3 linked regions of the Mus musculus genome follow. The protein of the gene in region 2 purifies or fractionates together with the protein of the main gene of each other region. This does not show direct contact. Links are inferred from orthologs where the notes say so. Each region holds a gene or a part of one and is shown on either strand. Other genes may lie near its edges. The genes, in order: Llgl1, Dnaja2 and Pld2.

Region 1 (3,647 bases), on a different chromosome or scaffold from region 2:
TAATCATCTGGCACACTGCAGAGAGTGCCCCAGAGAGTCAGGAGAACTTCCCAGAAATGGGAGGGTCCTCCTGCCTGCTGCTCACCTGCGCAGAACCACATCTGGGCTGAGAGTCTGCCCCTCCAGCAGTGCCAGGGTGGCTACATCCAGGAAGAATATGCTACCACTCTCAGTTCCCAGGGCTGCTGTATTGCCAGCTACGAGCAGGACCACAGTGACACGTGTTAGACTGGCAGGGAAACTGCAGGAAAGAGGAAGAGAGAGTAAGGTGAGCCCATCTACCTGCTGGGGAAGGCAGAACAGGTTGAACCCTTTCTATGGGCTCTCTTATGCCTCTCTGCATTCACAGGGCCTGTTCACAGCACAGGCTGACACCCTGGGAAGGCTATGTGCAGTGTAATTAGCCTACTCAATTATCCCCCAGCATGCCAGCAAAGAAAGGGATAAAAATAAGTTCTCCAGGTCCCAAAAGACTCACAGATCACTTACTACCCTGCTTCTCTCAGGCAGAATCAGAGCACTGCCCCAGCCAGGGTCCCCAATACCAGCTTTCCAGATACCTCAGACATCAGGGGCCCAAACAGTGACCAGGCCAGGCCAGGAAAAACTAACCTGTGGGCAAAGTCTATCCCATTGCAGCTATTTCCAGCACACCTGAGGGCAAGGCTCTCCACCTGGGGAGCCCGGCCTGCTATGCACAGCCAGGCATCCAGCCAGCACCTCACCAAGCCTACCCTGGAGAACCCTCCCGACTATCAACCATGGCCCAGCCGATCCCAACTCAAGAAACCAGCAGGAAGGTCAAATATGGGGGTACACACCAGTAACCCTACACTTGGAAGACTGAGGCTGGAGGATCACTAAAAATTCAAGGCCAGCCTGAGACTTTGCTGATATTACCTTGGCATAGAACTGTCCCAAATCCCTAGAGGGTACTGTGCCAGCCTAAAGGTCTAAGGAGTTGGGTATATAACATTCTATTCACTGGGACCCCCAAAACTAAAGGCTCCCACGGTGGGAAACACAGTCTCTGCCCACTGGCCTCAGTCTCAGCTGGCCACACCTCTAACCCTATCTTCAAAGGATACCACTTCAAGAAGGGTTCTATCCAGGCAGGGCTCCTGAAGCAGAGCCCAACTGTGTCTGCACTGCTTCAGCAGAGCAGGCTCATAGGCCCTCTCTAATTCCTCTGCCCAGTGGCTAGTCCCAGCCTGATCCTCCAGTACCTGGCATTGTCAAAACTGGGTCTGCTGGGTGGGTGGAAGCTGAGGCCTTCCTCCAGGTGGGCGCAGCCATTATGATGGATGATCTCCCAGAGATGCAAGCTGCTGTCATCTAGCAGGGTCAGGAGGCGGCCCTGATGGGACGGAGCAGAGACCAAAATGGGGGTAGCCTGAAGGGGAGGAGAGCACGGGGGTGGGACCACCTGGTGCTAGTAAAGGAGGGGAGCTATTCACCTGACCAGGGAGGAAATGCATCTGGGTGACGGTGGCTGCGTCCCGATGTAGGCCTGTAAATTCCACTCCGGGTGCACCATAGCTAAGGTAACTTGTCAAGAACAAACGTGCAGACAAGCTAGGACAGTCAGACAGGCTCTGCCCATCCAGGAGTCCGGCAGTCTCCTGATGACCCCCACTTCCTAAAGCAACTCTGCTCCTGTATCTGAGGTGCCCACAGAACCCACACAGCGCCCCCAGTAGGGTACTGATATAGGTTTTCAAGCCCTCATCTGTACAGCAGGCCAATGACTCAAACCAGAAAGCTGGTGCCAATGGAATAAGACTAATCACCTGCTCAGCACTGTGGCTCCGGCATGGTACACACGAGGCCGCGGATTCACCTGCACGGACCAAGCGCCTTGCAGTAGAGGTTAACGGGCCTAAGCAGAACAGAGCAGTGCCAGATCAAACAACTCTTGACCATGGTCAAGAACCCCAAGCTCCCTTCAGAGCAGGTAGCCAACAGCTTCCACTACTCAGCTTCCAGATGAGCACAGACTAGAAGACGGGAGACCTGTTTGAACAAGTGCCCCGAGACCCAGAAACTCCAGGACTGATGGAGGCCAGCAAAGCTGAAAGGGCCCAAGAGAGCTAAGAGATGGGTCAGTGATGTTGTCCCAGTGACAAGGAAGGAGCAGTTGCCTGGATATTGAGCTGGGACTCCCTGAAGAGGCTGGCAAGGATGACAAAGAGAGGACAGGGGCAGCTGGCAGGAAGCACAGTCTCCTGGGAGATGAGACTGCCCTGCAGGGGGAAGGGAGGCTCTAGAGACCAACTGTGGCACTTTCCAGCCTCAGTTTCCCAACCTCAGGAGTTCATGGCTACAGGAATTGAGAGGAAAAAGGGAAGAGAAGGAGGATCTAGCTTTGGCTTCCTCATGTATACTAAGCACGAGGGCAATACCCACAAGGACAGCTCTAAGCACCTGGCAGTGTAGACCATGGGCAACTCTGATATGGACACCTTTGATGTGGATACCTCTAACCCAGTACAAGGTCACAGCAAGTGGAGTAGCAGCATAGCATCCACGGGTCTTCGAATGGCAAGCAGCACTCATCTTGGTAACTGTCCCACCAAACACCCAGTGGCCCACAACAGAGGGAAGGACATCCCCTCCAGCCACACTCCCTGACAAGGGACATTACCTCATAAACCACGAGCCACATTCCCACCCCAACCTAGTGCTCCAGCTCTTGGTGAGCAGGTGGAGGGGCACCTTTACCAAGCTGCTTCTAGCCAGACTCTGCACCTCAAGTTTTCCTGAAGGCAGGTTAGGGTGCTATTTCCAGAGTAAGGAGACATTCAGCAGCCTGTTGCCCCACCCCCACCCTGGACTACAGGAAAATGCCTGCATTGTACAGCTCACTCAGCCCATTGTATGGCATCGGTGTCCAGATGGGGGCAGTGTTGCGCTCACCATGCTGAGCCTGGCACTGCCCTCCCGCCCTGGGTTGAACACATGGGGTCTTCGTATTTGTGTGTGTGTGTGTGTGTGTGTGTGTGTGTACACATGTACTCTTTCTCTCATCAGGGCTCACAGGCCACCCCTAACTGCCCCAGTCACAGCTGCCAAGATGATGGTAGGATTACCTAAGAATTGGTAGGCTGAAAGGCAGCAAGGGACAGCCATTGTTACTGCAAACCGACCTCCCCTCCAATCACCCATCTCCCAACCAAAAGACCCTCTCATTTCCGAAAGGAGTCATCACAGGCACACAGGCACAGCGACCTCTTCAGAAGCCCCAACAAGCACAGCTGTCTCCATGAAGCACCTGCCATGCTAAGACTCCAGCATGAAGTGAGCAGCACCTCAGAAGCAAAGGATACATCTTGACGGCCCCAGATCTGGTGCCGATGGCCATGATGCGGAGCTCAGGATCGAAGGCCAAGGCGCTGGGCTGATTGGGGAAGCCATGCTCCACAGTCTATGAGGGAAGAAAGGGTTCTATGGGCAAAATACCCTGGGGCTTCTGCTTCTAATTGGCCCAGAAGGTGCTGTCCACCTCCCCACACGGAGAGCCGGAAAACAGGAATCCCAGCACCATCAGAGGTGGGGATAGCACCTGGGACCTGAGTATTGTCCATGTCGATGCTGGTGCTACCTACCTGCTTCTCCGCTCTTTGTGAGGCCAGGTCCTTCCCTATACA
Region 2 (3,747 bases):
GCCTCATCCCCAGACCATAAATACCATTAAAAATAAATAGCATCTTGCACTGAGGAAGTAACCTCAGAAAATACATTGCAGAGCCAAGCTTACTGTTAAAAGAAGGCAGAGCCAAGCTCCCAGCTTATACAATCTAATTTCAGGACTTACACTCTTGAATGATTAGGGGTCTTTGTAAAATTCAAAGTCAGAAGAAGGATGATCTGACTTCAACATCTGCCCCAGGGTTATTTTGGCTGATCTGGGTGTGTGGGTGAGTGTTCCCTCTTCTTCTTTGTATGTCCCTTCCTGAAACTGGGTATTTGATCAAGAAGAGAGGCTAATCTTTGGCAAAAGGGTATAAAATAGCTGTGGTCCCCTGCTAGAAACCTCCAAATAAGTCCTGGAAACCAGATAGATAAGCTATATTCTATTAAAGAATTTTGACTCACATGTGAGAACAGCATTCATGTCATAAATCATACTTATCAGGAAAACGAACATCAAATAAGACAGGAAGGTTCACCAGGTTATGAATTAAGGAAAACACTACAGGTTAAGGGGCATTTTGAATAGCAGAAGGAGCATCTAACTTCTCATGAGACTCTTCTGAGCGTTCAGGTTAAATTTCAGAAGTCTTAGCACGGCAGTGAAGGACCTCCAAAACTCGGTCAAGAAGAATAACAAGAAAGGTGTATCACCTCCACTGACAGACTTATGGCCAATGAGCAATTGTTTCCCAGTTCAGGTTTTCAACTGACCAGAAGTGTTTTACTATCGGAAAACCAGTTGGAAGGCAAGCTATACATTCTGGAATGTGGTAAAGCACAGAAATCTTTCAAGCTAAAGCAAAACGAAACTCGACTGACAGCCACCAAGTGCCGGCACGCTGCCATACTGTCTTATGCCAACCAAACCTTTGGCGTTAGCTAATTTTAAAGCTGTCAAGTGAGACACTTGAACACATGATCCCGGTGGAACAGGGTGACTTTGGTTTATCTGGATGCCCCGAAACCAACTGGGAATGTGTAAAAAAGATTTGTCCTTTCCTCCGATGTGACAGGATGGCTATGCCTTTAAAACCTCGTCTGCTAGGTATAAATCTGAGTATTTATGAATGAAATTGTTTCCCCTACGCAGAGGTGCTGAGGGGGAAGTTAAGGAGATGAAATGAGTTAGTGAAGGTGTTGATGAAATCACATCACGGGCGTAACTCGCTATTTGGGAACCTCACACACTCACACCCACGTGCTGTTTTTCACCGTGGCCCCGGGGGGACCACCCCGTGAGGATTCCACGCCGGCTTCTTTCCCTCAGGCCTCAGCCGCACCGAGAGTTCTTTATGAACGCCGCACACCGCTCCCCTCCACTCCGCGGTCGCTCGCGCGTCACGGAGCGGCGACAGGAAAGGGCCCCACCAGCCGCTCTCGGGCGCCCACCGCCCAACCCCGCCCCGCCCGGCCCCGGAGGCGGGGCCTTGTGGCGACGTCATGGCGCTGCGCCGGGTCAAAGTTCAGCCCCGCCTGCCTCCCCGCGCCGTCTCCTCGGCCTGCGCCGCCGCCGCTCGTGGTCCGGGTCGCGCTCCTTCCGCTCCGCCGCCTGCTTGCGAGTGCTGCCCGGCAGGCCGCCATGGCGAACGTGGCCGACACGAAGCTGTACGACATCCTGGGCGTCCCTCCCGGCGCTAGCGAGAACGAGCTGAAGAAGGTACTGGAGCGAGCCGGCCGGCGGGCGGGGCGAGGGCGCGGGGCCTGCGCGGTCTGGGCGGCCTGAGCCGGGCTGAGGCGCGGCGGCGGCGGGGGCGCAGTCGGCTCGGCTGACCTTGGGCCTCCGCCCGCCCGGCCCTGCGCAGACGCGGCCCGCCAGCTCGGCGCCCGGGGCCACCCGGAAAAACAGGTCGGACCGCGGTGCTCGCGCCGCCGGGCCGGGGAGGAGCTGACCGCCGGCGCCGGTGTGGGGCTGAGGGCCGCAGCCCCCGGCGCTGAGCAGGCTCCTCCCTCAGCCTCGCTCGCCCGGCAGCTGGAGCGGCGTGGGTCTGTTTGGAAGCATTGTTCTGTGGGCTGGAGATCTAAATACCCCGTGGCCGCTTCGGGGATGAGTCGTGTGCCCCAGCCAAACACCTGAGCGTGCACTCCCTAAAAATAAGACACGTCTTATTGTTGTCCTTTGTAGTAGTTCCAAATCATCTCGGGACTTGGGGTATTAATAAAGTCAGCATCTTCTCTGGCTGTCGGGATCCAATCCGCATTTGTAAACTGAGAAAAATAAGAATGTCCCGTAAGTACTGGGACTGGTAAAGTCCAAAGAAAAAGACTTCCTGTTACCCTACCGGAAATGGTAGGCTGTGTTATATAATTCATGAGTCTGTGTGAGGACTTACATGGTGCTTAACCACATCGCTTAATTGAAAGTATGTAGTTTCACCACCACCTAAGACCCCAGTTAGCCGACCGTGTGCGAGTAAAACATCACTTAGGACCTCCTGGGTGTCCTGTTAGAGGGCAGGCAGAGGAGCCAGCCAGCATGGGGAGAGATACTTGGTAGAAGTATCCTATGCTTAATTTGTAGTAGTGCTTGAGTTTCTGTAAAACGTAGTCACTCAATCTAAAATTTGTTTGGTTATTGTGGTCTCCTTGGTCTGGCTACTGGCCATCAAAGACATTTGATAATAGTTTGTAAAAAAAGAAAGAAAAAATGTTTCAGTATCTTCTTTGTTGTTTTATTTGTATTTTTCTTCAGTAACTTTGGGTATATTATTAGTAAATACTATTGAAGTGGAAAACGTTAAATAATAAGTGACATTTTTTGGAAGGCTGTAACTTTAGAACATTGCTTCTCAGAAAAGTGAATATCTTAAATTGTTTGCTGTGTATAACTCTTATCCAAAATCTTTTTTGAAGGCATACCGAAAGTTAGCCAAAGAATACCACCCTGATAAGAATCCAAATGCTGGAGACAAAGTAAGTCATTGAGTTTTATTCTTAAACTGAAACTTAAAATATATCACCCTCCCAGAAAGGAAAGTCCATTTATGCCTACAGAGTGAATTTTTCGCTGTTATTTTAATTTACTTGAAAATGACCTTAGTAAAACCTATTGCTTGTAATATTCTTCAAAGATAAGAAAAATTATAGCTATTGAGATAGCTCTGTGTTCCAAGTCTTGCTACCATATAAGCCTGACTACCTGAGCTTAATCCACAATGGAAGGATAGAAAGTTGTCCTCTGACCCCCATACATACTCCCACACTCATATGCATATATAATAGTGATGGTGATAACGGTCAGAGGACTATAGTTTTACAACGAGAATTCTAAGATATTTAGCAGTAGGTGATGAAGAGGACCAAAAGGAAACCAACTGAAACTCAAGGCTTTTTATTGAAGTTAAGTGGCTTCTGAATTTCTGAAGTCTTTCTCACATCCTTACACTAAAAAATCCAATTTTTTTACTTTTACTTTATAGTTTAAAGAAATAAGTTTTGCATATGAAGTATTGTCAAATCCAGAGAAGCGAGAGCTGTATGACAGATATGGAGAACAAGGCCTACGGGAAGGCAGCGGCGGAGGCGGTGGCATGGATGATATCTTCTCACATATTTTTGGTGGAGGATTGTTTGGCTTTATGGGCAATCAGAGTAGAAGTCGAAATGGCAGAAGAAGAGGCGAGGACATGATGCATCCACTAAAGTGAGTCTCTTTAAAAATGCTTCTCCAAACGGTGTTCCTTAGAGGGTGACTACAGAATATTTTGTCCTTTGTTTCAAA
Region 3 (3,647 bases), on a different chromosome or scaffold from region 2:
GAGCCAGTAAGCAGCATCCCTGCATGACCTCTGCATCAGCTCCTGCTTCCAGTTTCCTGCCCTGCTTGAGCTCCAGTCCTGACTTCCTTTAGTGATGAACAGTGATATGGAAGCATAAGCCACATAAACCCTCTCCTCCCCAATTTGCTTTTGGTCATGGTGTTTCATCACAGCAATAGTAACCCTAACTAACACAAGGAGGAAAAGGAAGAAGATGCAGAGGAGGAGCCTTCCAGAGGGAAGGCAGCACTGTTCCTGGCCCATTTCATCCTATCCTCTGTCCCAGTTGCCAGTTCCTGGAGCCTTTGGGGGAAGGGAGCCTCACCTTCAAAAGGCCGGTCCAGCTGCACCCAGTCCTTGGTGATGAGGTTGCTGTAGTCCTTTCCCAGCCAGAAGAATTGGTTATGCGAGAGGTCTGGAGTGGCTGCAGGGTCTGAACCTAGTGTGGGAGTCTGTATGAAGAGCACACCACAGCCAGGCAAGGTGAGGTCATGGGACCAGGCCAAAGAGAAGGCATGTGCACTGCACCAGAGAGTCTGATTCCTCAGCCTCCCTCTTCAACTGCAGTTAGAGTCAGTAAAAATGAAGGGAGAGAGGGAGCTTGCTTTCTTTATTTCGTCCTTTCTTTCTTTCTTTCTCTCTTTCTTTCTTTCTTTCTTTCTTTCTTTCTTTCTTTCTTTCTTTCTTTTTTGTTTTTTGTTTTTGTTTTGTTTTTTGAGATAGGATCCCATGGTGTAGCCCAGGCTGGCCATAAACTTGAAATCCTTCCTGCCTGAGCTTCCTTAGTGCTGGAATTACAGATGTGGACCACCACAGTAGCTTGGAGCCTCTGAAAGGCTGGGTTGGCAGTTCTAGGAAAGGTGTAAATTTGGAGTACCTGGGTTTGTGGGGAGTGGAGGACAGCCCTGGGGCAATTACCTGTAAATGTACAGGTTCAGAGGGGTCACCCAGGTCAGTCAGTCGGTATTGCACGTCATCCCAGCGGCCGAAGGCCAGGTCCAGCCCGCCCAAGAATGCCACCACTTGGTCTACCACCAGGAGCTTCTCGTGATGAGCCCACAGTGTCACAAGGTCTGGGTGTCGCATCACCTAGAGTAGGGTGAAGGAGCACATGGGGGAGGGTTTAAGTGAGAAGATGGAGGATGAGACTTTTCAGGAGAGGAAGGGTTAAAGAGGACGGGAAGTGGCTGTGCTGTAGAAGGGACTCAGGCCTGAACGTCACCTTTATGTTGGGATGCAGCAGCATCAGCGTCCTCTTGCTGTAGCCACTGTTGATGCCCAAGGCCAGCTCCACTTCCTTAAACAGCAGTATGGAAACTCGGACACCTTCTTCCTGGTAGTGAGGGGGAAAATCAATTCCTAGTGGCTCTCCCTGAGTGGCCCTTATCCAACTCCCACGCTTAGGATTCCTGGATGTCCCTCCACCCTACCAGGGTGCTCTCCTACGTGCATCCAGAATGATGCTTACAGCAAACATGAGCTCGCCCACTCAATTCCCCACCTCCCTTTCATAATCCCGCCAGCCGGCTCCCCAACCATTGGCTCATCATCTTAACCACTGTCTATCATTCTTCTCTGTCACCTCCACCTTCCCGACTCACAGCTTTCCAGCCATCTCCCTGTTCACTGTTTTCCCCCTTTGTAACACAGTGTTTAGTCCACAGTGGTATAATACGCAGTAGTAGCCAAAGATAGTCTTCATTCATATCCTAGTCTTCCTGTTTCTATCTCCCAAGTGCTAGGATAACCAGTGGGAGCCACCACACCCATTTTCTTTCTTATTGTCTATCCATTCACCCTCCAACATCCGTGGATCCTTCCTCTTGTCAATATTCATAAATGCCAAGTGTGCGGGGCACACACTAATCTCAGCATCCAGGAGGCAGAGTAGGGCGGATCTCCATGGGTTCGAGGCTAACCTGATCTACACATTGAAGCTATTTAGTGAGACCTTGTCTTAAAACCAAAATGCTCATGAATGCTCGCTGCATGACAGGTGCTGTACTGTTGTACTGGAATGTGTGGTGTTGCTTAGCAAAGACACATAAACACTACACTCCCAGATAGTACAAAAAAGGGAAGGGTCTGAGGAGTGGGCGCCTAGTCTATACTAGTACCCTAAAGAGGGAACCAGGAGGTGATATTTGATAGACACTGAGCCAGAAGGGGTACGTTTCCCAGTCTTGAAGCCTCAGATTCCCAATCTTCTCCTTGGAAGATTCGAGCCGCAGTCCTTCCAATAACGTCCCCCCACAACACACACACACACACACACACACCCACACACACACACCCCTCTCTCCAGAGCCAACCACTCCTCACCGCCTTCCTCTTGAGCATAATGTCCAGTCTCCAGTCGTCGGAATGGGCTGGACGCTTCAGGTAAATTTCAGGACTCAACCTAGAAGCCAGGGCAATGGGTAAGGAGCAAGCTATGCTGAAGACAAACAGCCCCTCCTCCCTTGCCCCCCTGCGCTGTGCTGCTGCCCACTTCCCTTCTTGGGTGGACCTGACCTCACTCACCACCAGTCTGTGATGAAAATCTCCTCTTGAGCTCGCAGGATGGCATCTGCCACAGCAGCAAAGTAACCTGCCCCATTCACAAACCTGGGGGGAGTCCAAGCCAAGGAGGTCAGGGGAGTCAGAAGCCAGAAAGTTCTGGAGAGTGAAGACCGGAGGACAGCCATGGGTCAGAGGTGACAGCAGGGTCAAAGGTCAGGAATGATCAGAGAGGTTAGCTCATTCAAATACATCAGGTGGGATTATTCGGTATGGTGGTATGGTGTGCCAGTGGGAGCAAAATAAACATGACAAGACACACAATACATTAAAGAAACTGACCAATGATTGGGAGGACTAATACACCATATATAAAAGAGCTCCAGAAAACAGGAAGGAAAAGCAAACACAAAGAAAAAATGCAGAATCCAGCTGAAAATGAGCAGCCTGAGAATTGACAGCTCATAGCAGATATTAAGATGGGCAGTCACAGGGTAAGAAGTTCAGTTCTCTCATTAACAAGAAATTAGGGCAGGGTGTGGTACATAGGCCTGTAATTCCAGGCTGGGACCAGAGGATTACTAAGAGTTTGAAACAAGCTTGAGCTACATAGTAAGACTGTCTAAAAAGCAGCAAAAAAGGCTGGGCATAGTAGCACACACCTTTAATTCCAGCATTTGGAAGGCAGAGACAGGGTGGATCTGTGTGAGTTTAAGGCCTGCCAGGTCTATACAGTTATTTCTAGACTGGCCAGGAATACAGAGTGAGACCTTGTCTCTCAAAAATAAAAAATAGCTGGGCAGTGGTGACACATACCTTTAATCCCAGCACTTGGGAGGCAGAGACAGGCAGATTTCTGAGTTCGAGGCCAGTCTGGTCTACAGAGTGAGTTCCAGGACAGCCAGGGATACATAGAAAACCCTGTCTCAAAAAACCAAAAATAGGGCTGGTGAGATGGCTCAGTGGGTAAGAGCACTCAACTGCTCTTCCGAAGGTCCGGAGTTCAAATCCCAGCAACCACCTGGTGGCTTACATCCATCTGTAATGAGATCTGACTCCCTCTTCTGGAGTGTCTGAAGACAGCTACAGTGTACTTACATATAAATAAATAAATAAATAAATAAATAAATAAATAAATAAATAAATAA

The links.
Region 1: the proteins of Dnaja2 (region 2) and Llgl1 purify together in Homo sapiens (co-immunoprecipitation; 3 studies listed by BioGRID and IntAct, with this or other methods). This does not show direct contact. The link is inferred for Mus musculus from reciprocal best matches to the Homo sapiens genes DNAJA2 and LLGL1.
Region 3: the proteins of Dnaja2 (region 2) and Pld2 purify together in Homo sapiens (affinity purification with mass spectrometry; 3 studies listed by BioGRID and IntAct, with this or other methods). This does not show direct contact. The link is inferred for Mus musculus from reciprocal best matches to the Homo sapiens genes DNAJA2 and PLD2.

Annotation. Positions count from the first base shown.
Region 1 is NC_000077.6:60,702,561-60,706,207, reverse strand, and holds part of Llgl1 (lethal(2) giant larvae protein homolog 1), read right to left. Parts: intron 3,425-3,647; coding exon 3,327-3,424; intron 1,540-3,326; coding exon 1,458-1,539; intron 1,358-1,457; coding exon 1,227-1,357; intron 242-1,226; coding exon 86-241; intron 16-85; coding exon 1-15. UniProt on the Homo sapiens protein: Cortical cytoskeleton protein found in a complex involved in maintaining cell polarity and epithelial integrity. Involved in the regulation of mitotic spindle orientation, proliferation, differentiation and tissue organization of neuroepithelial cells.
Region 2 is NC_000074.6:85,553,109-85,556,855, reverse strand, and holds the start of Dnaja2 (dnaJ homolog subfamily A member 2), read left to right. Parts: upstream 1-1,494; 5' UTR 1,495-1,608; coding exon 1,609-1,686; intron 1,687-2,879; coding exon 2,880-2,939; intron 2,940-3,445; coding exon 3,446-3,669; intron 3,670-3,747. UniProt on the Homo sapiens protein: Co-chaperone of Hsc70. Stimulates ATP hydrolysis and the folding of unfolded proteins mediated by HSPA1A/B (in vitro).
Region 3 is NC_000077.6:70,550,140-70,553,786, reverse strand, and holds part of Pld2 (phospholipase D2), read right to left. Parts: exon of another isoform or gene 2,659-3,647; coding exon of another isoform or gene 2,608-2,658; coding exon 2,524-2,607; intron 2,402-2,523; coding exon 2,323-2,401; intron 1,334-2,322; coding exon 1,223-1,333; intron 1,090-1,222; coding exon 919-1,089; intron 453-918; coding exon 326-452; intron 1-325.